3 linked regions of the Oreochromis niloticus genome follow. The protein of the gene in region 1 purifies or fractionates together with the protein of each later gene. This does not show direct contact. Links are inferred from orthologs where the notes say so. Each region holds a gene or a part of one and is shown in the gene's direction. Other genes may lie near its edges.

Region 1 (7,988 bases):
GTCTATAGGAAACACCCCCCTGCTGTGGGGGGTGTAATCAAAGAGCCGTGTGCTGCTTGATGACATCACGCATGCTGATTCATTCCATCATGTAAATGCTGGTTTGAGGATGATAGGATAACATGTTATAGAATAACATCCTGAAACAATCGGTCTGTAAATACGAGGCGGTCCGTCCTGCTGTTCCCGTGTCCATGTGTTGTTGCATGTGATGTTTCTAAATCGGCGCGCTCTCATCTGAATGTAAAACCATGAAGCATCATATGAGTGTATAAAGTGCTGCTATAAAAAGAGCTGAAGAAGCTGTTTCAGGTGCATGCTCTGTGGTTCCAATTAAAGCTTGTTCTTCATCACTGTGTCTTCCTCTTTTCTTACAATGATGCCTTCTTGGCTCTCAGTAATAACTGTTAATCCCAGTTGTTTCCTGTTATGCAGAGGATGAAGCCGATTCTGTGCTGCACTAACTTTTCCACAGATGATGTGATGAAGACATCCCTCAGACTCTTCGTCAACTCGTTAATTTCCTCTTTCATCCTCTCTCAGTCTCTCCATCATTTGAGCTTCCTGGAGGTTTTGGTCCCATGGGGAGTTTGCTTAAACTGACCAATTAGTGCTGAGAGACCAGCAAGGCATTTACAGGCCAGAGCACTGCCTTGAGACACTATTAAGAACCTCCAGTCCAACCAATCTCAGCTCAACTGGGTGGGACGTACAGCTCATTCAACATCTCACTATTATCAGAACATCTTCAGCATCAGCGTGAGGATGACGGTGGTTTTGGCGCTCCTGAGTTGTTCATCATAAATTATGATGGCGCGCTCAGAGCTGCCATCATGACTCGACCCTTCGAATTGTCACAGACTCTCAGCAGGACCTTCTTCATGTTTTCAAAGCCTAAACAAGAAAAGGATGCTCTCTCTGGTTCTCAGCCTTCATCACAGTGAAAGCACCTGACCAGCAAGTCCAGGACAATGGCGTTTTGTACCTCGGCTCATGCTATACTCAAACAAAAAAGCTGAAACTGATCTCAGAGGTCAGGAGAGCAGTCGCCCCCTGTTGGGTGTTAGAGAGAATATGTCGATCTGCATCCGTCTTTATTTACAGTGTGGGGGAAAGAAAAGAGACATGAAACTGCATCATCACTGATCAGAGTATCAATCAGTTATTGATGATTATTAGTTAAAGTGCTGAGCTGAACCAGCTGGGCTTTTAAACATGTTTCAGCTCTTCTGAGGCAGATTGCTGATGGGGAGTCGTGGGTGTTCAACCTCCAGCAGGTACAGCTTTGTATGTGGCAGCTGTTTCCTGTCACCATAGTGCAGCGTCATGGCCAGCCTGGAAAACCTGGAATTTTCTTAAAACCCAACAGCTGTTGGTTTTTACAGAATTGCATGCAGTTACATTTGTGTGGCCGAATACCAGCATTGCCCCAGCCCATCATCATACGAGTCATTAAGATCACACAGGTTAGGGTGCAGATGGTGGTTAAGTTGCCCAGGGAGGGGCCTCAGGGTTACAGGGGGATTATAGGTGCTGTCAGTCCTCCACCTATCAACAGCTTCATTAGGACTGAGCAGGTTGGAGACACCGATGTCCAGCTCAGGTAAGTCAGGTGACCACATCTGTCTCACAGAGGTTCAAGGATCAATAGCAGAACCAATCACACACGCAAACAAGCTGCCTAATGTCCTGCACCTTCAGCTCATTATGCAGTTTCCATGGCAACAGTGATGTTGAGATAAGATCCAACACACATCACTCCCTCCTTTAGCAGTCCCCACACTCGCCCATGCCTCCATCTCCTCCTGTCACACGGACCCTCTGCATGGCCTTCACTACATCCATGAACCTCTGAGCTCTTTCTCTTCTCCTCCTCCCTGAAGCTCCATCTTCATCTTTCACCCTCCTTCCTCTGCACATGCATGCCTCTCTCAGCCTTTCTGACTTTGAGCCGTCTGTCTGATGGACTCATTTCTGATCCTGTTCATCACAGCAGGTCTCACCGCCATCTTTAAACCTTCCCTTTCAGTCTTGCTGCTATCCTTCTATCATGAATCACCCTGACACTAATCTCCACTTGCTCAACCCTGCATGCATTTCCTCACCTCTCTGTGGATGGCTTAGGCGCCCCCTGCTGGATGCAGAAGTTCATCACAAATTTTGTCTTTGCAGGACCTCAGTTCAAAAACCCCGACTAGAATCAAACCAGGATGAACACACACACACACACACACACACACACACACACACACACACACCTCCCTCCCACTCATCTCACTCTTCATTTCCTGGAGGCCATCCAGCAGCCAGGGTGTTACCAAGGCAACAGAGACTGGGAAAATGTGTGTGTGTGTCCTGATCAGGTTTTCTGCTGACAGATGGCGCCCCCTTCAGTCTGACAGTGGAAACACAGCTTCCGTCCAGGGAGGAATTGATCAGTGATCAGTGATTCACTATGAGTTGAGTCTGATAAGAACACATGCTGTGATGTCATTCAATAAAACTTCATTTACACACCGTCAGCTCACAGCAGACCGTAAAGAGTGTAAAGGACAAGGGGTGGAGTCAGAAACCACGAGGCCCACCTGCAGAAACGTACAGAGAGAATGAGTCTACAGCAGCATAAGTAGATCAGGTTTGCTTATCAGGACTGACTGTGATGAGTGTGGAGACTGAAGCTTTCAGTTCCTGTGTCTTTTTGGCTCCTGGTAATCTCACCTGATTGTGAAGCTTCATCTGAAATAATATAATTAACTTCAATAATATATCTCAATTACTGTATTTTTGACTGTTCACTGTCAATCTGCACACTGCTAATTTCTTTAGTTTTGTTCTTCTATTTGGTCAGGAATTGCACAGCAATAAGGATTTCACTTCATGTCGTACTGTGTATGATTGTGTATGTGAAAAATAAAATTTAAATTTGAATGAACTTTGATGTGAAACCTCAGAGTTTCTGACCTAGAATAAAGTTAAAAAAGAGTTTTCATTCTGACAGTTAAACACCTGCCCTGTTTCTGATGTCTGAGGATGATGATGAAAGATGACGAGAGTAATGAATATCTCAGGTTTGAGGATTTCACATCTTCAGTCTATTTCAGGAAAAACTGATGAATCATTGGCCACATTATTAAGTATTATTAGTCCCTTATTTATCCAGGTAAAAAATCTCATTGAGATTAAAAATCTCATTTCCAAGAGACACTAACTTCACTCAGAGACGGAGAAAGATAAAAAAGACAGGACAGGAGAGGAGAGGAAAAAAAAGAGGTTAGATTTAAAGATCTGCTCATATAAAGCTTACATGCAAGTCCTCGTGTTTAATCACATATTGTTTTTGATGTGTTTTTATAAATTATGTATTTTCATTTTGTGAAACTTCCTGTGAAACAAACTAAGTATACTAATTTTGTGTTATTCAAATGTTTTCTGACAATTCTGGGGAGTTTTGTGTAGGATAAACAGGTTACTTTGCAATACAGTGGTGAATTCACAGTAAAGCACTTTGCTGTGGTGCACTTTGCTATGGTGCTGTGGTGATCAGTGTTCAGCAGCATGTAGCAGAGATTAATTTACATGTAAGATGATGATGTTTAGATTTGTTCACTGAATTCAATTGTTATAGTGACTTTATACTGTCTGGTACAAAGATGGCATTCAGTATACTGTTAATGTAGAAATCAGCCGAGACAGCTGCAAAACATCTGCTCACATCTGGTTGAATTCAGGTGTGTAAATCCACAAAGAGCAGCCGGTCAGCTGATCACAGCCTGTACATAATTTTACGGATTTGTTGTTAGCGCTACTTTGTTGTACTTTGTCTGAAGGTGTGCTAAATTTATAGTTTTTTATTTATAATTTTTGTCTGACCTGTCAGGGACTACAGATGAAAAGTAGCCTTCTGGCTAAATCTGGCATATTTGCATTGATATATGTTCATTAATACACACTGTCCCTTTTAAATCAATAAATGTAAAACAATTCAAACACTAAGAAAATCTGCTGGAGCTGTCAATAGAAATGATTGTGAGCGGAGTATTTTCCCCACACAGATCTTAGGGTTCCTCCACCTGCTCAGTCAGCTGAACGATGTGAATGCATATCGTATGAAGTATGAAGATGTTTTATTGTTCTGCTTGATGGAGAGACCTCCATCCTCATGGGCAGAGTTCACCTTGTCAAAGTGGGTGGGAACAACCCAACACCTTTAGTTAATGAACGGTTAAATCTGATTAGATTGTAATATGCGTGAACCAGCTGATCACTTAGCTTCCAGTGACAGCATGGAGACACCTGTTAAGTAATGATGACGTGTGACATCAGCTTCGTCACGTCTTTATCTCGTCCCTTTGAAACATTCACATATAGAAACGTGTGACAGGAGCTGAAGCTGTGTAATGTTTAAGTGTGAGGTAATCAGTCAGCTCAGCAAATATGAGCAACACAAACTGTGTCTGTGCAGTTTATCAGGTCTGAGAGTCCAGCTGCTGTATTTACACACACTCAGGGTCTCTGAGAGGACGAGAAGCTCCCATGTGCTGTTCAGAGGTCTTAATCAGACATTAGATCTGTTATATGAAGAACACGCCGTACTGGCAGCTCAGTGCTGGTTAGTCTACAGTGATTGGCTGATGCAGAACAGCTGTTCAGTGTGACGTCTGTGAAACGTCTTCTCAGATCCACAGAGAACAGCAGGTCAGCTGATCACAGCCTCACATCATGTAACTTATTTCTGTGATTCTTCCCCCACCTTCTCACCCGAGGCTCCTCCATCAGCTCAATCCCAGTTTTTGGACTCGTGACACTCGTGGACCAGTGACGTATCAGCTGTTCACCGTTAATAAACGTGCAGAAGCTTCCTACCAGCACGAGGCGCCTGCCAGGCAGCGCTCAGGGACATAAGAACCCCAGCCGTGGTTCACTACTTCCGGTATTAGGACGTGTATTTCCGGTCTGAGTGACGCTCTGACAGTAGTCAGACTCTTATCCTCCGTTAGCTTGTGTTAGCCGCCGTTTAGCCACAGTTTCCGGGTTTTGACCTCACCTTGTACTCCGGTTCCGTGTACCCGGACCCTCCGTCCTTTCACCTGTCGGCTGGGACCGAGACGGCTCCCGGTTCTGTCCGGTCCGGCTGCCTCCGGACTCCGCCTTTAGCCGCAGAGCTAACCCTGCTGCTAGCGCTGCTAACTGCTAACTGTGGCGTTCGTGGGTAAGCGAGAGAAACAACGAAGAGGCCGCGCACAGGTGAGTCAGCGTCACCTGCCGCTGGTGAGGGTGTCTATGGATTACACACGCGGGGTGGCGGGGCGGGGGGACAGCTGCTTGAAGCAGCCACCACACACCTGAGCCTGCCAATCAGGATCAGCTGATCAGAATACACACACACACACCACATTTCCGGGCTGACGATCAGCTGATCACATCACCTGTCCTGAGGCGCAGCAAGTGGAGCAGTGAGAAACTTTATTTATTTTCGTTAAACTTTATTCAGACAGGAAGTTAGTGAGGATCAGACTGAGCTCAGAGGCTCCTCCCGCTCTCACAGGTAGCTGCATGTTCTTCAATGTCCAGGAGTCCCCTGCAATCCTGAGCTGGTCACGTGGTGAACGATCATGTCACACCCTGAGACCCTCATAGTCTTGTTATGGTGACCCTATGGTCCCAATCCTGCTGTCTTTATGGCAAAAAGTCACTAAATGCCACTTCCTGTTTCACCTGAGACCTCACAGACTGTAAATAAAGATGGAGAGCTGCATGCTCTCTGATGTCCAGGAGGGGGGCGCCTGCTGAGGTTCCCACACTAAGAACAGCCTCTCACACCTGTCATTGAGAGCGGCCTCAGGTCTGTGGCTCACAGGTGAGATTAATGGAGACATGAGTCAGCTGACTCAATGCTGATGAACCACATGTCTCAGATGTTCTTCCTGAAGTCATCAGTATTTATGTGTACCTGTGGGGCGGTGGGGGGGGATAAGCTGGTCTGTGGTGTCTCACCTGGAGATCGTCAGGCTGCAGCTGGAGGATGCAGAAGATCCTGGTGATCTCAGTCTGTAGTTTTTGCAGACCTGCTGCCACAGCTTATCCATCATCATCATCATCATCATCATCATCAGTCTGAGCTCACCTGAGCTCCAGGAGTTTCCTTCATGAAGGAATTTAAAAGTATTCCCTCAGAAAACATCTAAACCTCTAAAAACAGCTCCCTTTACCCGTGAAATCACGGTGGTAAGAAATGCTGGTCGGACTCAATGTGAAGCTTGGATTTTGGATGCTGGGAGGGGAGAAGATGAAATGAAGAAGCGATCCTGACGTGCACACTTAGGTGCAGTCCTGCTACTTCCTGTTTCCTACTTACCTGTCACTGTCATTTCACTGCTTGTGTTTTTAGGATGGGCTGATTCACTATTTACTGTTGCTGTTACTAGGGATGAACATTTATAAGAATTTAGCAATTCTGATTCCATTATTGATATCACTTATTGATTTGATTCCTTATTGATTCTTATTGGCTGTGCTTTGAGAGTCTCCACCATATCAAAGACATTAGCCATGCACATTAACTGCACCCTGTGGGTCACATGTTTGTCCATGTTGACGGTATTTCCTCTTTTTGTTATGATCAGTGCTGGAGTCATTACTCAAGAAAAGTAATCTATTACTCATATTACACAGAATATTTCCTTAAAAGCTATGTAATGTGTGACTTAATTACTCTCTGGAGAAGGTCATTCACTACATTACTCATTACATTACTTTCATGTTACTCCTTAAAATGACCTGAAACACAATGTCTCATAATTACGATTTAACAATATAAACATGCTCATCAGTTTGTTACCTGCAGTTCAGGCTGTGGCTGCTGCGCTGAGGTCTGCATATATCACTCTGGGTTCCTGGCCTGCTTAGCGTTAGCATGCTGGCTGCACAGGTGCTTGTAAAGAGCCATTGTGTTAGAAGCATAATGCAGTTGTTTCTGTCCCGCACGCAGTCTCCACTTTACCATCTTGCTCTTGTCCTTTTGTGGAATAAAAAGAAAAGTATCCATGCTGTAGACTGAGCTGCTATTTTCCTCTGACACAAGAATTGAAATCAGCTGATCGTAGTGTGAGTACAAGAATCCGTAAGCGGAATTGATAGCTCCTGGAATTCTAAGGAATTGGACAACTGTGAACTGGTCCTTTTACAAGAATCTGTACAATTCTGATCCCTAGCTGTCATTAAATTGAGCCTGTCTGTTTCCTGCCTCACTCCCACTTTAATATCAGCTGCTAGCTTTATGATAACAGTTAGGTTGGGGGAAGAGCTAATCCTAACACTAACCTGTCGCAGGCAGGTAAATGTTTAATAAAAAAGGAGCTTCTCTGAATTCATTAAATTCCTCCTAAAGATGGACTGACGGTCTCTAAGGTGCTTCTTCAGGTTTACTACTGTCCACCTGCTGCTAGTGATGGGAGGAGCTGTGTCAGCTTGAAAAGTTGAGGATGATGCTGCTGTTATTGATGCAGAGGAAAGTAATCGATAGTTTTTTGGTATCAGTTCTCTTTGCTAGCCTTGCTCGGTACACACTCTGCATTGCTGAGGAAAAAATAAAGTACTGCCGTTGGGGGTGGGGGTTAAGTTCTTCAGCTCAGTCTTTCTCTGTAATAAAATCAGCCACTCTGCTGAGATCGCCCTCAACACTAAATGTGATTGGTCAGATGCTGACACCTTTGACTTCTGGTGTCAAGCAGGTTCAGGTCCTAAAGCACAGAGATTAGATCATCAGTGTCTCTGTTTCTCTGATCTGATTAAAAAAAAAATTACCTGCAGGTTATTGATCTCATGTCATCTGAGTGGATGAAAGGTTGGATCGGTTGTTGGTGATGCCTGCTGGTCCCGCTGAACTCTGGGTAAAAAGTCTGCAGGTGAACTACAGAGATGACTTTATTTAAACAAGCCATGTTAATCAATACTCGTGTTTAGTGTAAAGTTAATGATCAGAATAAAGG
Region 2 (7,000 bases), on another chromosome or scaffold:
CATAATCTGATTAAGTTACGTAACTAAGGTGATAAATAAGTTCAAAGTTAAGAAATATAAGTAATTCATGCTAAAAACAGTTAAGATGTGTGTGTTTGAAATTTGCTCAGAGTGAGACATCGTTATCACAAGCGATCTTTGTATTGTATGTGCGGAAATGGGAGCGAGGGAGCGCTCTGATCATTCACCTATCTTTGACGTATTTTCTCCGTTAATGTTGTGAAAAGTGCTTCGGCAGTATTAAAACTGTGAATAAGCTCATGTACACGCTAAAAGTGCTCTACACGCTTGTACCTTGGGAAACGTTCGTCTTTGTAAGTATTAATGTGTTCAGAAATGACTTTTATATGTGTTTACATGGAGTGAACTGTGATGCTAATGTAACGCACGTGTTAAGCTAGGCTAATCATTAAGTTTGTCATTAAGATGTGTATTAGCTAGCAATTTATTTTTACCTTTTGTATATTTCAGTTACAAATAAGAAATAGAAAGGAGAAGCCTTGAGAGAGGATAAGGCTTTAAAGGATCTTCATTAAAAGCAAGAAAAGCAAGCCTTGTGTGGAAGATCTCGTCTATTTTGTTCGCTGGCTGTCTAGCTTCACATGGTCACGTGTTGTGAGGGCAGCATAGAGAGAGAATGTGATTCTAATCCTCCTTCCAGGCACTGTAGCGTCTTGAATGCATGGTTGTAAAAATGTTTAAAAAAAAAGAAAAAAAGTACAAAACCAGAGTGCACAGGATCTCTTTCAACCGTTGATTTCCTGCTGTCCCAGTTCCCCAAAGCAACCCAACACAGGCTTTCAGTCTTAATTCAAAGCAACTCTACAATTGTATTGCTGCACAATATGGCACACGGGATTAGCGACCTACCCAAATACACCAGCAAACATATAAAAGAGAAACTGATGTGGGTAAAGCTGCATGGTGCTGCTAAAAAGATGCAGATGGGTCCAGGCATAACACATGGCCTTTGTTTCAGTCCCTGGAAAAATTAGTCTCAGATAAAATCCTACAGCTCCTCGAGTCCAAGTCTAAGCAAGGCGGCGTCATGCAAAAGAAAGAAAGGAAGAAACTCACCTTCACGACACTCTTCTCCTACAAATCCTGGGCAGCATCTCCACTCCAGTGCAGTGACTTGCTTGTAGGTAGTCCTGAATGACGGCCTGATCATAGTCCTGTAGCTGGAACAGACACTCACTGACTTTAGGGACATGTGATGCACAAACACGCATACAACATGAAGTATTTTGCTTCTTGGTACAGTGGACAATAGACTGGGAACCCAAATGGAGGTGGGGGGTAATTATAAAGATCCAAAGAGCCTCGCCAGCTTTGAATTAGGAATGCAATTACGCATAATTTCCTTTCCATTTTATGCAACCTCGTACCTCTAAGAGACATTCAGTGCCCCTTTTTCAATGAAAACTCTTCATTTCACTGTGGGGGTGGTTCTTCAGTCATACATACATAAATATGTGTGCAGAACTTTAACTTTCAGACAATTATTTCTGTTGTTTTGCATTAACAGTATCACTTTATTTGAACATCCTCTTCTGGCAGACATTCTCAACCAGATTAGGGATGTAAGTGATTCACAACAGAGGCTCCATGCCTGAATTTGCCTAAAGCCACTTTTTCACTAAATCTGCCCCAGCCACCAGGCAGCACCTCCCACGTTCATGACTTATTGTAAAAAGCAAAGTTGCATTTGCATCACAGACCAGTGAAGAATCTGACTTGACTGGAGACAAAAGTATACCTGATGACTTTGGAACAGGGTCCGGGCCACCGGCAGTTCTGAAACACTCTCTGCACTGTGGTTTCAGTCCCATTGTGCACCTGGCAAGACACTGTTTTGAAAACAGTGTACTGACACCAGTTCCTAAAAGACGGAATAAAAGAGATGTTATCGTAATTAATACCGAGAGAGAGAAATAGAGCGAGAGAGAGCAGTGATCTCGCACTAGATCCGTTTTTATTTCACAATAAATTGCGTTAAATCGTTACAACCCCTCCAGTGTGTGCGCACCTGAGTTGGGTTCGGGATCCAGTACCCGGCGGTCCCGTGACGCCGCTCTGTTCCGATTTGATGCGCTGCCGCTGCAAAGTGATGCCCGGGAAGTGATAAACAAAGCCCGTTCCCAGCGAAGGACAGACTAAACTTATCCACATGCAGAACGCGCAGAGAAAAGAAAGAGGCATCATTGTTTGATTTATCCCTGAAAGAGATATCCGCGGACGGTTTTCAAGTAAATCCCGAAGTTATAAATCCCTCTTTGGTCGAAGCTCTACAGAAGCGGAATGGAGGAAGAAGAAGAAAAAAAAAGAAAAACTATGGAAATCCCACCATTAACGAGTTGGTCATCCCTTCTCCACGTCGAGAAACAACCGGGCCCCAACTCAAGAGCCCGAAATGAATGGCACACAACCTCTTCCTTTAGAATAATTTGCGTTTCTGACGTTTGACATGGTGCCGGGGACCGAGGAGTCAAATATCCAGCGTGCGTAAAAAGCGCAATGAGTGTGAGGGTTGGAGACGGAGTGCGTAAAAGCGCATCTGGTCTCGATTGAAAACCACGAGCTCTGTCTTCATATAAGATAATGTGAACGATATGGCCACAAGTGATTAGCGAGCGCTAACGCATTTCTTATGGGCTTGTGTTATGTCTTTGATTACCCTTATTGACGCGACAGTGTCGTAGACTACACCACAAGGTCTAAATTCTTAAAGCCTGCATGAGTTGGGGTAACAGATATGATCAATATGCCTGTTCTCATCACTCTATCAAATAAAGCTGCTTTTCTTTTGGAGACTAAACTAAACTCTGTTAGAATCCACAGTTCCAGTACTTTATTACGTAATGAGAAGATTGTGAATGAAGCTCCAAACTGGGTTTTCCTTTATCTGATTACATGTTGTCTTCACATTTAGCTTCTACAAAGAGAATAAAGTCAGTTTCTCGTTTAAAGGGAATAAAAATTTAAAATAGAACATTTTGCACACGTTTGCCGTGGTAGATGCATATTTTAACGCTGTATTCATAACAATGGCATCTAGATCTGAACAAATGTTTGACCTTGCTAAATCCCTACTCTTGAAAACAGAAACACCGGAAAGCAAATTATACATCCACAGAATTCAAAATATAAACAGAACACAAACGAAGTAATTGTCATATCATGACCAAATAACAGAGCCATGAGTCTTTTGACTGCACAGAAAATATGCACAGATGTACTCATTTACTTGCAGGCAAATTACAGAAAATTCCATATATGTAATGAGACTAGTAGACTGTGATGTTTGCAGACGGCAGTATGATCTGTTGTGAGAGCAGGGAGCAGATAAGACTCTGGAGAGGTGGAGGTATGTGCTGGAGAGAAGACCTCCAAAACAGTGAGTAGAAGCAAGAAGGAATATGTGTGTGTGTGTGTGTGTGTGTGTGTGTGTGTGTGTGTGTGTGTGTGAATGAGAGGGAGGCGGGAGGAAATGTGAAAGAGCAAGGAGCAGATGTAGTGAAGGTGGTGTTTAAATCCCTGGGGTCAACCATCCAAATCAACAGACGGGCACAAGAGAAGAGAAAAAGACAGTGCAAGGAGTGTGGAGTGGGTGGAGATGAGTATCAGGAGTGATATGTGACAGAAGATTAGCAGCAAGAGTGGAAGGGGAGGTTTACAAGATGACAGTGAGACATTCTGATCTGAAGGTGTAAAGGTTTTTATTGGGAATGACCAGAATGGATGAGAAATAAGTACACCAGAGGAAAAGCTCAGGTCAGCTCCCAGGAGGGACAGTGGATTTACTGAAAAAAGGATGGAGCAGCTAGCTGGAAGAAAGGCCCGCAAAGATTCGTGCGTGTAGTAAAGGAGGACATCACTACAAACATGACAGAGGAGGATGGTGTGACAGAGGAGGATGCTAGGCTTTAGGTGAGGTGGAGGCAGATGATCCGCTGTGGTGACCGTTTCTATTGGGAATGACCAGAATGGATGAGAAATAAGCAGCTGTCAGAAGGAGATGGAGGACTACACCGGATTTGCAGTGTATGCTTGATTTCACTTTTGATTTTGAATCACTTCCTGCGTGTTAAAATTAGCTGTTTGTTTTTATACTTCCTTATCCCCTAAGATAACTGCGTCATTTGGCTTGAGTAACTTATGACATTTTACATTACCAGGTACTATTTTTTTCTATTTTTCTCATGAAAACTATCTTCCATTTACTTCCAGAGAAATAAACGTGGCATGAAACTGTCATTTACCTCTAGCTGGTTCCAGCACTTTAATGTCTTTTACATACAGTCTGTGGTCCAGACCCATAACGGAGAATGTCCCGAGCGGCGGGCGCCCCCTGCTGGTCGCTGTGGCTCCCTACAGGCTTCAGATGGAAGGAGACGTGTCTCATTTCAGAGCAGCTTGGACGGAGTGATGGAAGCACACAACACCGGTGGAAACGTGGGAGAGAAAGCAGACGTGGAGATGGCAGGATCTCCGTTTGAACCTTACATTGAGTCCCTGCGGCAGCAGCTAGAAGAGCAGGACCCGGTCTTCCTGATCGGAGTTATCGTCGCTTTGGCGGTGGTTGTTATCACCTGTGGTAAGAAGTCATTTTAGCAGCTTAGCAGGCTAGGCCAAGCGTGTAGCTTAGCCCCGTTAGCCGCAAACAGCTGGTCTGTGATAAACCTGATATGTGAACAGGGCTTTTTAACGTTGAAAATACAATAACATGCGCTGTTTTAATAAATTAATATATGCTTTAAATACTTTAGCTTAAGTAGCAAGCTAAGAAGCTAACAACGGCTGTCGGTTTCACGGGAAGTCATTCAAACTTAGAGCTACCACACATTTTTGGCTAACGGACGGCAAGTGCCTTTGATACGTTGAGAATCAGTCACTGAATGTGTACCCTTTGCTTTGTGTTTGCAGTCTTTCTGAAGTACTTCCTCACCAGTAAGACTGTGCGCACCTCCGTGCTGCTGGTGGGGCTGTGTGACTCGGGGAAAACCCTGCTCTTCAGCCGGGTGAGTTAATGCTGAGACAGACCCCGGAAGCCCGCAGGGGGGTGCCCTGCAGCTCATGTTTGTTTGTTTGTTTATTTATTTGTTTGTGTGCTTTTCATGTGTTGGCAGCTGCTGTCTGGAAAGTTCAAGCGGACACAGACCTCCATCACTGACAGCAGTGCTCCATACAAAGCCAAAAATGACAGGGTGAGTTGAGGACTGTTAGTGGACAGAAGTAACTCGTGTGAGGGTGGGATTTACACCTTTGTTTTTCTCCACCCCGTCTGCAGGGCAGCACCTGGACTCTCATAGACCTGCCAGGCCACGACAGCCTCCGTCCTCAGTACCTGGAGAAGTTCAAGTCTGCGGCCAGGTGAGAGCAGGACGATCTGTGAGGTGATGTATGTGTGAACCGCTGACAGGTGAATGGAATAATGCTGCTTCCACAGAATGAAATGTTCTGACCATAGACTGTATAGAAAGGATGGTAAAGCCATTTTTACCCTTGCATGTTTTGGATCATCAAACACACTTTAATGTTAGAAATAACCTGAGTAAATACAAAGTGCAGTAAGTGCAGTATTAACGTCATGATTTCATTGATTAAGGCAGAAAAGCTATCCAAACCTGCCTGCCCCGTGTGAAAAAAGTAATTGTCCCCTTGTTCCATATCACATCTGTCTTATCATCACCCTGTCCTCTTTTTCAGAGCGATTGTGTTTGTAGTGGACAGCGCGATCTTCCAGAAGGAAGTGAGAGACGTGGCCGAGTTCCTGTATGTGTTATTGACGGACGCCGTGATCACCAGAAACGCCCCGGCTCTCGTGGTGGCGTGCAACAAACAAGGTACAGTAACCCTCAGAGAGTTTTTAGAGAGCTGGTGGAAACTTTTTATTTGGTTTGTCTCATGTTTAAATAGAAAGATTCATAGTTTTCTGTCACATAAGGTAATTGCAGTTCACTGAGAGTGTAGTCCCATTCTGAGTCCTAATATCTGAGCCTTCACTGCTTACTCTACATCCAGGTTATTCACTGGTGTTTTTATCTTGTAGACATCACCATGGCAAAATCCGCTAAACTGATTCAGCAGCAGCTGGAAAAGGAGCTGTAAGTAACTCTCTGTTTTGTTGTCTTCTTATACAATAAATATTTTTAGGAGCATCGCAACAGGTTTTGAATCAAAGCTTTATTGTCCATTGCAAAGCAGTGGAACTTTTTCTTAAACGTGGTTTTCAGTGTAAATAAATAAAACCGCAAAAAATAATGAATGCCACATAGCAGGATTCAAGGATTGTTGCAGATATGAATTTTTTGTTTTTCAGTTTTTGTGTAGTAATTTTGCCATTTTATTCATATTTCCGCTGATAAGCCAGTGACTGATCCTGTATTTATTATGAACCTGTTACCGCAGACTGTAGGATGTGTGTGTTTAATGTGGACTGTGATGTGTTACTGCAGCCTACCCCCAGGTATCATAGGGTAAGAGGCGGGATACACCCTGGACAGGTCGCCAGGCCTAACACAGAGGGACAGACAGCCATTCACACTCACATTCGCGCCTATGGCCAATTTAGAATCATCGATTAACCCAACCCCACTAACTGCATGTCTTTGGACTGTGGAAGGAAGGCGGAGTACCCAGAGAGGACCCACACAGACACGGGAGAACATGCAAACTCCACACCATAAATAGCACTGTTGCTTCACAGCTAGAAGGTCCTGAATTCAAATCCATCACCTGGTCAGACCCTTTCTCTGTGGAGTTCGCATGTTCTCCTCATGTTTGCATGGGTTCTTTTTGAGAACTCCGGCTTCCTCCCACAGTCCAAAGACGATATACGTTTACATTTTTTAATGTAGTCTTCATTTTGCATATTATTCAAAATATGACCTCTAAAAATAGATGTATTTCAACAATCAGTGTTGTTCTGGTAAATTTATCAGTATGTGGATTTTGGCCTTACACCAAATCCAAGATGGGAGTTTGGCAGTTTGGCTTA
Region 3 (7,292 bases), on another chromosome or scaffold:
CTGCCGTTCATCCTGCAGTGACCGACGGAGGAGGCTCCGCCCCTCCCTCTGAAACACAAAATCAAACAGGTTTACTGCAGCAGGAAGTGCTCACGTGACCATCAGTACGGCTCGGCTCGTGTACTTCCTGTTTCTGCCTGTGTGGGGCAGCACCGAGTCCAACAACACCTGATCCAATGCGCTGTTCCGGCTCCACAGGGGGCGCTCTCGAGCTCATCCTTTAGCCGAGTGAAACCAGCCCGACTGCTGGAAACGGGCGCCGTGACAGAGGACGCCCTGTCATAAATCACTGAAGGACCAATCAGCGCGCAGTAGCAGCATGTAGGTGTTTTAAATCAATGTCAGGTGAGAAAGGCTGCAGGACCAAAGGGGGCTGGATTTAATGTGACCATGTTTTTACGGCGCCCCCTGCTGACCTGCGCAGCGTTTTGGCACGTTTGGCTCTCCATAGCTCAGAGGAGGCTGGCTGCTTTCAGTGGCAGGTCACTCTCCTGTGAGAAGCTAGAAGTAAGTGGAGCGTGAGTCACTGAGCAGAATATGTCGCCTGATCACCTGACACGTCACCTGATCCCTGCTGCCCCACTGTAGGCTAACAGTGACACGTTGAAGGTCAGTGACATCACCTGTTACTGTGTAGAATGTACCAGGTGTATTTATAGAGGATGACAGCTGGCCATCACCACACTTTAACACCTTCATCCTCTCACTGCCCAATCAGCTTGCAGCTCACACCATGGCGGCCCAACAGTGTGTGAACTTCCTGAAGGCTTCTTTTCATTTACAGAAATCAATCTGAGCGTGCTCAGAAACGAGATTCTGCACACGCAGTGAGGATGCTCCACGTGCAGAAAGGCTCCAGAGCGCCACCTTCAGTGATAGAAACGTCAATGCACACTGAGCTCTGTGTATGAACTTTGGGTCGTTCCTAAAGCCACGCCCCCACACCTGGGCACCTTCACCTTTAGTCAGATTCATCTGAAGATGCAGCTGTGCTTCGGAGTTCACGTGTCTGTGGCACCATGGCGAATTTTGATCCTTCGCCACTGGACAAAAATGATGATTGAGGGGTCTGTAGCTACCTGCACAGGTGTGATCAGAGTGCACACCCACTCACAGTCACAGCAGCAGCTACGGGGCACAGAATAGCCAATCAGAATGTTTCACTTGCAGCAGCTTCACTGTGAGGGTGCCCACCTGTGTGCACCACAGCCATTGTTTGAATGACCTCACACTGACGTGCACCTCAACTGTTCTCACCTGGCTGAGCATTAAACTCACGTGACATCACCACACCAGTGTAACCACAGAGGTAACCGGAAACAGTGTGTTTGGTGACATTGCTGATGATCGATTCTCAGACAGGAGCTGATCTCTCACACACACAGGTCCCGGTGCCGTTCTGCAGACGGTCCCCGGGTTCTGGGTCCGGACGGCCGGGGAGCTGGGCTCGGGCCCGGTAAGGTCTCCGGGCCGCCAGCTTCCAGCTGCCCGGTAATGGCGTCCATCCTCCGGCAGGAGTCAGCACGTAGCTTCCGCTGGCACGAACCGCAGAACCGAGCGCGAAGGTTTCCCGGTGAAACGTGTCGGAGCGACGCGGAGACCAAACCGGAACAAACCGGATGAAACCGGATAAAAGATCCGAGCGAAAGTCTCCGGACGGCACACGTGGAGCGTTTAAGGGCTTTAATCCGACAAAATGATGACACGTAAAAAGGTCGAGGTCGAGTCTACCCGCGGTGCAGGATCACCAGAACCCCCGAGCCCCCCGAACCCTTTACCCGCAGAACCAGAGCTTTGTGCGGGCGGGACGGGCTGCAGCTGCCCCACAAGCCTCCGCTGCAAAGCCGCCATGAATGTTGTGGCGACTCGGGGACGAGCGAGCCGAAAAACCCAGAAATGCGTTTAAAATCGGAACCTGGCGTTTACCTGCTGGTTCGGACAGAAAGCCGGGGTGATACTGCACGGCACCGTGCCGGTTCGGCTGCTTTCGGGACCGTGGAAGTGTGGTTTTTTCAGCCGTAAACCCCGGGGAGTCAGGTCGAAACGAATCCGACAAAAGGAGCGTCTAGTCCGGTATGAAACTCCGCCCAGCGCCGCAGGGGGAGGAACTCCGGGGGAAAACATGAGGACAAAGGCGGAGGATGAAACCAGAGACAGCGGCCACAGCGGCAGCCAGCCCCGCTGGAGCCGCCGCACACGCACTCTTTAACGGACGCTATTTTACATTTACGCCGTTTTCACTCAAACCCAACTGCGACTGCGTACTCCGAGCCCTCTCTGGGTCCAGATGCTGAACAGGCGGGAGGCCCGGGGACCGCCGGCAGAGATGCGGCCGGGGGCCCGCGGAGCACAGCGGATGCTCTGGGAGGAAGCCGAAGGGGCTCCCTCCACCGCCCGGCGCGATGCTGATCGGGGGCTGAGAGGCGGCAGAGGAGCCCGCTAAGAGCAGCGGAGTCCCCGTGATCAGTGAGGTCATCATCTGACTCCGCACCTGCCGCAGGTGGGGTGAGGTGTTTCTGCTGTTTGTCCTAATAAAGTTTGTTATTTAGAATAAAAACAGCCTTTATTTTGAGTTCTTGTGACTTTAATTCTGGAGTAAACTCGGAGGACCCTGCCACCTGAGGTGAGGACAGGTGCACTGGGCCTCACCTGTGGGACCCTCAGAGGTCTGAGCTGGGGTCCGGGTTCTGGTGGACTTCGGAGCCCTCACAAACACAGCCAGTGGCCCCTGAGCGCCACTGCTGCCCCCTGCTGCCCGGATGTTCAGCACGTTAAAGGGAAAGTGTTGGGGTAATGACATCATCCAGACTAACAGCGCGTGCAGCAGCTTCTCTAACAATGAAAGGTCAGGCTGTGCACGTGGACACCCCAGGATGAGCCACCAATCAGCTGATCAGGTTTCTGCAGCTGTCAGAGCCCCAACATGCTGAAGAGGAAACACTGCAGATGATCGATCGGTTCACTGACCGATCAACTGATTGATTGAGCGGACCCACAAAGTTGAAACTCACATATTTCACAGGACTTTGTGCAGAATTTACACTCACAGCCACTTTATTAGGTACACCTCCTCCTGAAACGCTCACTGGGGTCTGGACACACCAGTCTCCTAAATCATCATTCTGACGCTTCATTTGAACCTCAGCAGCTCCTCTTCATCACTTTGCTGCTACCCTGTGATTGGCTGGTCAGATATCTGAGTTGAACAGGTGCACCTAATAAAGTGACTGTAAATAAAATGAGTGCATTATATTCATGCATTTTAATATATGTTTGTATTTAGAGTGTTTGAACATGTTTCTGTGGGTGAAGTGAACCTCATGCTGTAAAATCTGCTGGTCTGCTCACACACAAACACACACAGGCACTCCTAAAGCTTAATCACCAACAGCTTCATGCTCTTATTTTGAAAAGTCGCAGCAGGTCATGGTCAGGGTTCCTTCTCAGTACCTCAGGCTGTCACACACCAGCTTCACACAGGTGATGCTGATTGGATAATCTGGCTCGGTTGAGCACCAGTCAGACTTCCTGTGTGTCAGCTGTCGTTCCTGGTCGTTCCTGGCCACGAGTACACATAATCCACACTCTCTGTTGGAAGCTGTAAACCTGCAGTAATGATTTATTATGGTCCCCTTTCTTCTTCTGCTGTCTGATCTGCTGTTACAGAGGGCTTTAGTCTAATATGTCACTTTTCGTTTTGTTTCATTTATTAAAAACTTTATTTGGATCTGATCTCGAACACGTTTCTTCTTCTTTACTTTTTGTTCTGTACCATTTGAAACTGTTACACTCTGCTTGTTTCTTTTGTCTGGTTACGTCATAAGGAGACGCTACGGTAATCGCGACCAGCAGGTGTACGCATGCGCAACCTCCACTGGGGGGGCGATGGTTTTACGAAACCAAAGAAAAAACAGGAGAAACGAGAAGCACAGGAACAGGAGAGAGGAGACAGCTATATCCTGACTCAGATTTGGGCATGCTGGTTTGAATAGCACATTGTTTTTAATGAGAAAGCACTGCACAGGGGAGTGTGACTGCAACAGAGAAGAAGAAACAATAGGACATGTTTTAGTGCATTGTCAGAAATATGATGCTCGGTGAGATGAAAGTGAAACTGGACTTGGCTGATTTATTTCGTAAGAACTGGAGAAGTGATCAGGTCATATTTTGTTTTTTAAGGCAGACTCGTTTGTTTGGGAGGATTTGATTCATTTTTGACATTCAGTTCACACTCCACACCAGTGGGTGGCGGTAATGCACCATTTTGCTGTTTGCCAACCGCCAATAAGCAATATAGAGAAGAAGAAGCCTCCGCTGGGTCCGCCGCGGAGCACAGCAGTAGAAGAAGCGGCAGCAGGAAGTGATGCAGCTGTTAGCCTGCAGGCTAACGCGGAGGACATGAAGCTCCTGGACTGAACGTGAGTGACCGTCGTCTCCTCTCTCCTCGCGCCTCTGCGCAGACTCAGACTGTGGGTCAGAGGCTCCCTGGGAGCGGGAGCTGTTAGCGCGTATCTTAGCGCAGCGGGTAGCTGTTAGCGCGGACTTTAGCGGGACTGGCGGAGCTGATCCAGGTGAGCCCGGGTGGCTCAAATGCCCGGATCTTCCGGTGAAACGCGACCAACAACTGGTGACGTGACGAGGCCGCGGAAAGAGGTGAGCAAATACCTGAGCAGAGGGCGTCAAAAATACACTTGATTAACAACCGGATCAATCATGGATCGATACCTGCTGACGGCACACAGGAAACCGGAAGTTAGCGTTGTATGGGGACAAGTGTAAGGGCTTTTCATCCCGCTGGTTGGACAGCCACGCAGGAAGTGACGTGCGATCCGCCAGGGGAGCTTTTACCTCTGAGTGTGTTTCCCCAAGATAGAGTCCCAGAGGTCACCCTGTGGTGTGTGTGTGTGTGTGTGTGTGTGCGCGTGCGTGTGCGTGTGCGTGTGCGTGTGTGTGTGTGTGTGTGTGTGTGTGTGTGCGTGTGTGTGTGTGTGTGTGCGTGTGTGTGTAGAGCGGGGACAGGACGCTTGCTCTGATTGGACTTTACTGGGCCCAGGTGTAACGTAGAGGCGGAACTTTGAGGTTTACTGGGATTTTATCGTTACCATATTCTGACAAACGTACAGATGATCTGCATCTGCAGGTCACGACCTCACAGCTGATCAGTTTGTGTTTTATCAAATGAGATAAGGTGATTTTACTAAAACCCGCCGTACCTGTCCGATGTCGTCTGATGGCGATTACATGGATCCAGTTTGGGAGCCGTCGATAACCTCCCATCAGGCGACACTGTGAGGTTCAGCTTCCGGCAGCTACAGGTGTCCTGCAGATGTTCGGACGTTGGTTTCCCTCGTGTGTCTGAGCCGTCAGCTCGCTATGAGTTAGGAAGTAACTCTATCGACCTGAGAGAGGAGCTCACCTGCTCGTAGTACTCTCACAGTATTGTATTTATCACCACACAGTACTGCGATACTGTCGTGTGACGTTGGAGCTCCGTCTGTGGGACACCTGCCCCTAAAGGGGCGTTTTCTTTCTTTCCCTATTTCATAAAAAGCTTCAGTCATGCTGGAGTGAAAGGACAGGTGAGGGGTTCTCAGGTAAACAAGAAGTGTGTGTATATACCTGAAGCTAAGCTCTGCCCTCTCCCTACAGGTGTGTGAGCTGTGCTGACCTTGGCGGCGATGGCGCTGATCGAAGGTGTCGGCGATGAGGTGACGTTGCTGTTCGCCACTCTGCTGCTGCTGACAGTTCTGCTGCTCGCCTGGATCTCCACCCGCACATCCGAGCCCCCTGAACACCTGTTCACAGGCTCCTCCCCTTTACAGAGGCCCGGGCAAACCCAGCAGGACACGCCCTTTTCATCCACCGCCACCTCCTCGTCCCCCTACCCACCATCCTCACCCTCCACCTTCTCCATGTCCTCGTCCTCACCTTCCTCCTCTGTGAACGACAGCTTCCTGACAGAGGCTCCCACCACACTGGAGGATGGACAGGTGGGAGGAGACGGGGTGAGGCGCAGAGGAGGAGACGGAGAGGCCGCGGTGTCTCAGCGGAACATGGTGGTCAGACTCAAGTTCCTCAACGACACAGAGAGGACGGCGCAGGTCCAACCACAGGACACCGTCGGGTACATTAAGAGGTACGAGTGCTGCATGTAATACTCCATACACTACACTACTGCATAGTAGAGGAGGAGTTTCGGCAAACCTGAAGCTCCTCCTCCCGGCTGTGCCCCCGGACCCGTTTGCTGACCTCTGACCTCTGACCCTGCAGGACCTACTTTGCGGGGCAGGAGCATCAGGTGCGTCTCATCTATCAGGGCCAGCTGCTGCAGGACGACGCGCGGACGCTCGCCTCGCTGAACCTCGCCCATAACTGCGTGCTGCACTGCCACATCTCGCAGCACGCGGCGCGGGGGGCGGCAGGGGGCCAGCGGGCGGGAGACCAGGTGCGCGTGGCGCTGAACGTGGGCAGCCTGATGGTCCCGCTGCTCGTGCTCATGCTCTCCGTGCTGTGGTACTGTCAGATCCAGTATCGCCAGTTCTTCACCGCCCCCGCCACCGCCTCGCTGGTCGGGGTCACCATCCTCCTCAGCCTGGTGGCCTTTGGCGTCTACCGCCGCTAGCCTCCCATGGGCCGGCAGCGGGAAGAGACGCTACCTGCAGTTATTGTTTGTTTCTGTTGCCATGGAGACGCAGTGAGGACAGAGACTCTTATCATTAGATCACACGTTTATCTTCATCATCAGCGTGCCTCTTTGATTTCTGTGGGAGGCACAGACACACCTGTCTGCCTCACCTGTCTGTGTGTGTGTGTGTGTGTGTGTGTGTGTGTGTGTGTGTGAGAGAGAGAGAGAGAGAGTTTCAGCTTTTGGAGAAAATCTATTAAACCTTTAATTTATCCCGTGGTGTCTGAGTGTGTGTGTCACACCTGTACAGGTGATTCTGAGGGTGGAGCTGCTGCAGTCACATGGCTGGTTGGCATCACCTGATTGGCTGGGCGGTCAGCGTTGGGGAGTACAGATTTTTCCCTAGCGACAGGTTGTTGCTAAGCACTCTCTAACCATCCAGGATCAGCTGATAATGGAGTCCATTTCCAGGGTGAAGATTTTATGGGCTCTTATGTTTGACCTTTGACCCTCTGTGTAGCAGGAAGTGTGTAATGTTACAAAATAAAGTTGGATACAAAAAGCTCAGAATGAAAGAAGTCATGTGACGACCTCAGACTGTTTCTGTAATGTGATTGGTCAGAGCTGCTGCTTTGACATGTTCACAGGTCACGGCTCCGTAAATCAA

What was found. Proteins that work in one complex are often made in the same cells at the same time.
Region 2: the proteins of tmem259 (region 1) and srprb purify together in Homo sapiens (affinity purification with mass spectrometry; 3 studies listed by BioGRID and IntAct, counting the BioPlex papers as one, with this or other methods). This does not show direct contact. The link is inferred for Oreochromis niloticus from reciprocal best matches to the Homo sapiens genes TMEM259 and SRPRB.
Region 3: the proteins of tmem259 (region 1) and tmub1 purify together in Homo sapiens (affinity purification with mass spectrometry; 3 studies listed by BioGRID, with this or other methods). This does not show direct contact. The link is inferred for Oreochromis niloticus from reciprocal best matches to the Homo sapiens genes TMEM259 and TMUB1.

What each region holds. Positions count from the first base shown.
Region 1 is NC_031986.2:36,032,656-36,040,643, forward strand, and holds the start of tmem259 (membralin), read left to right. Parts: upstream 1-4,944; 5' UTR 4,945-5,244; intron 5,245-7,988. UniProt on the Homo sapiens protein: May have a role in the ERAD pathway required for clearance of misfolded proteins in the endoplasmic reticulum (ER). Promotes survival of motor neurons, probably by protecting against ER stress.
Region 2 is NC_031979.2:23,283,511-23,290,510, forward strand, and holds the start of srprb (signal recognition particle receptor subunit beta), read left to right. Parts: upstream 1-3,975; 5' UTR 3,976-3,990; coding exon 3,991-4,044; intron 4,045-4,143; exon of another isoform or gene 4,144-4,158; coding exon of another isoform or gene 4,159-4,178; intron 4,179-4,230; coding exon 4,231-4,597; intron 4,598-4,926; coding exon 4,927-5,021; intron 5,022-5,129; coding exon 5,130-5,207; intron 5,208-5,290; coding exon 5,291-5,373; intron 5,374-5,709; coding exon 5,710-5,846; intron 5,847-6,052; coding exon 6,053-6,107; intron 6,108-7,000. Other genes in the region: col26a1 (collagen alpha-1(XXVI) chain), read right to left, coding at 1,078-1,181, 1,760-1,882, 2,030-2,205. UniProt on the Homo sapiens protein: Component of the signal recognition particle (SRP) complex receptor (SR). Ensures, in conjunction with the SRP complex, the correct targeting of the nascent secretory proteins to the endoplasmic reticulum membrane system.
Region 3 is NC_031982.2:34,496,567-34,503,858, reverse strand, and holds tmub1 (transmembrane and ubiquitin-like domain-containing protein 1), read left to right. Parts: upstream 1-4,267; 5' UTR 4,268-4,418; exon of another isoform or gene 4,419-4,653; intron 4,654-5,649; 5' UTR 5,650-5,678; coding exon 5,679-6,136; intron 6,137-6,270; coding exon 6,271-6,622; 3' UTR 6,623-7,203; downstream 7,204-7,292. Other genes in the region: ubtfl (upstream binding transcription factor, like), read right to left, coding at 1-11. UniProt on the Homo sapiens protein: Involved in sterol-regulated ubiquitination and degradation of HMG-CoA reductase HMGCR. Involved in positive regulation of AMPA-selective glutamate receptor GRIA2 recycling to the cell surface.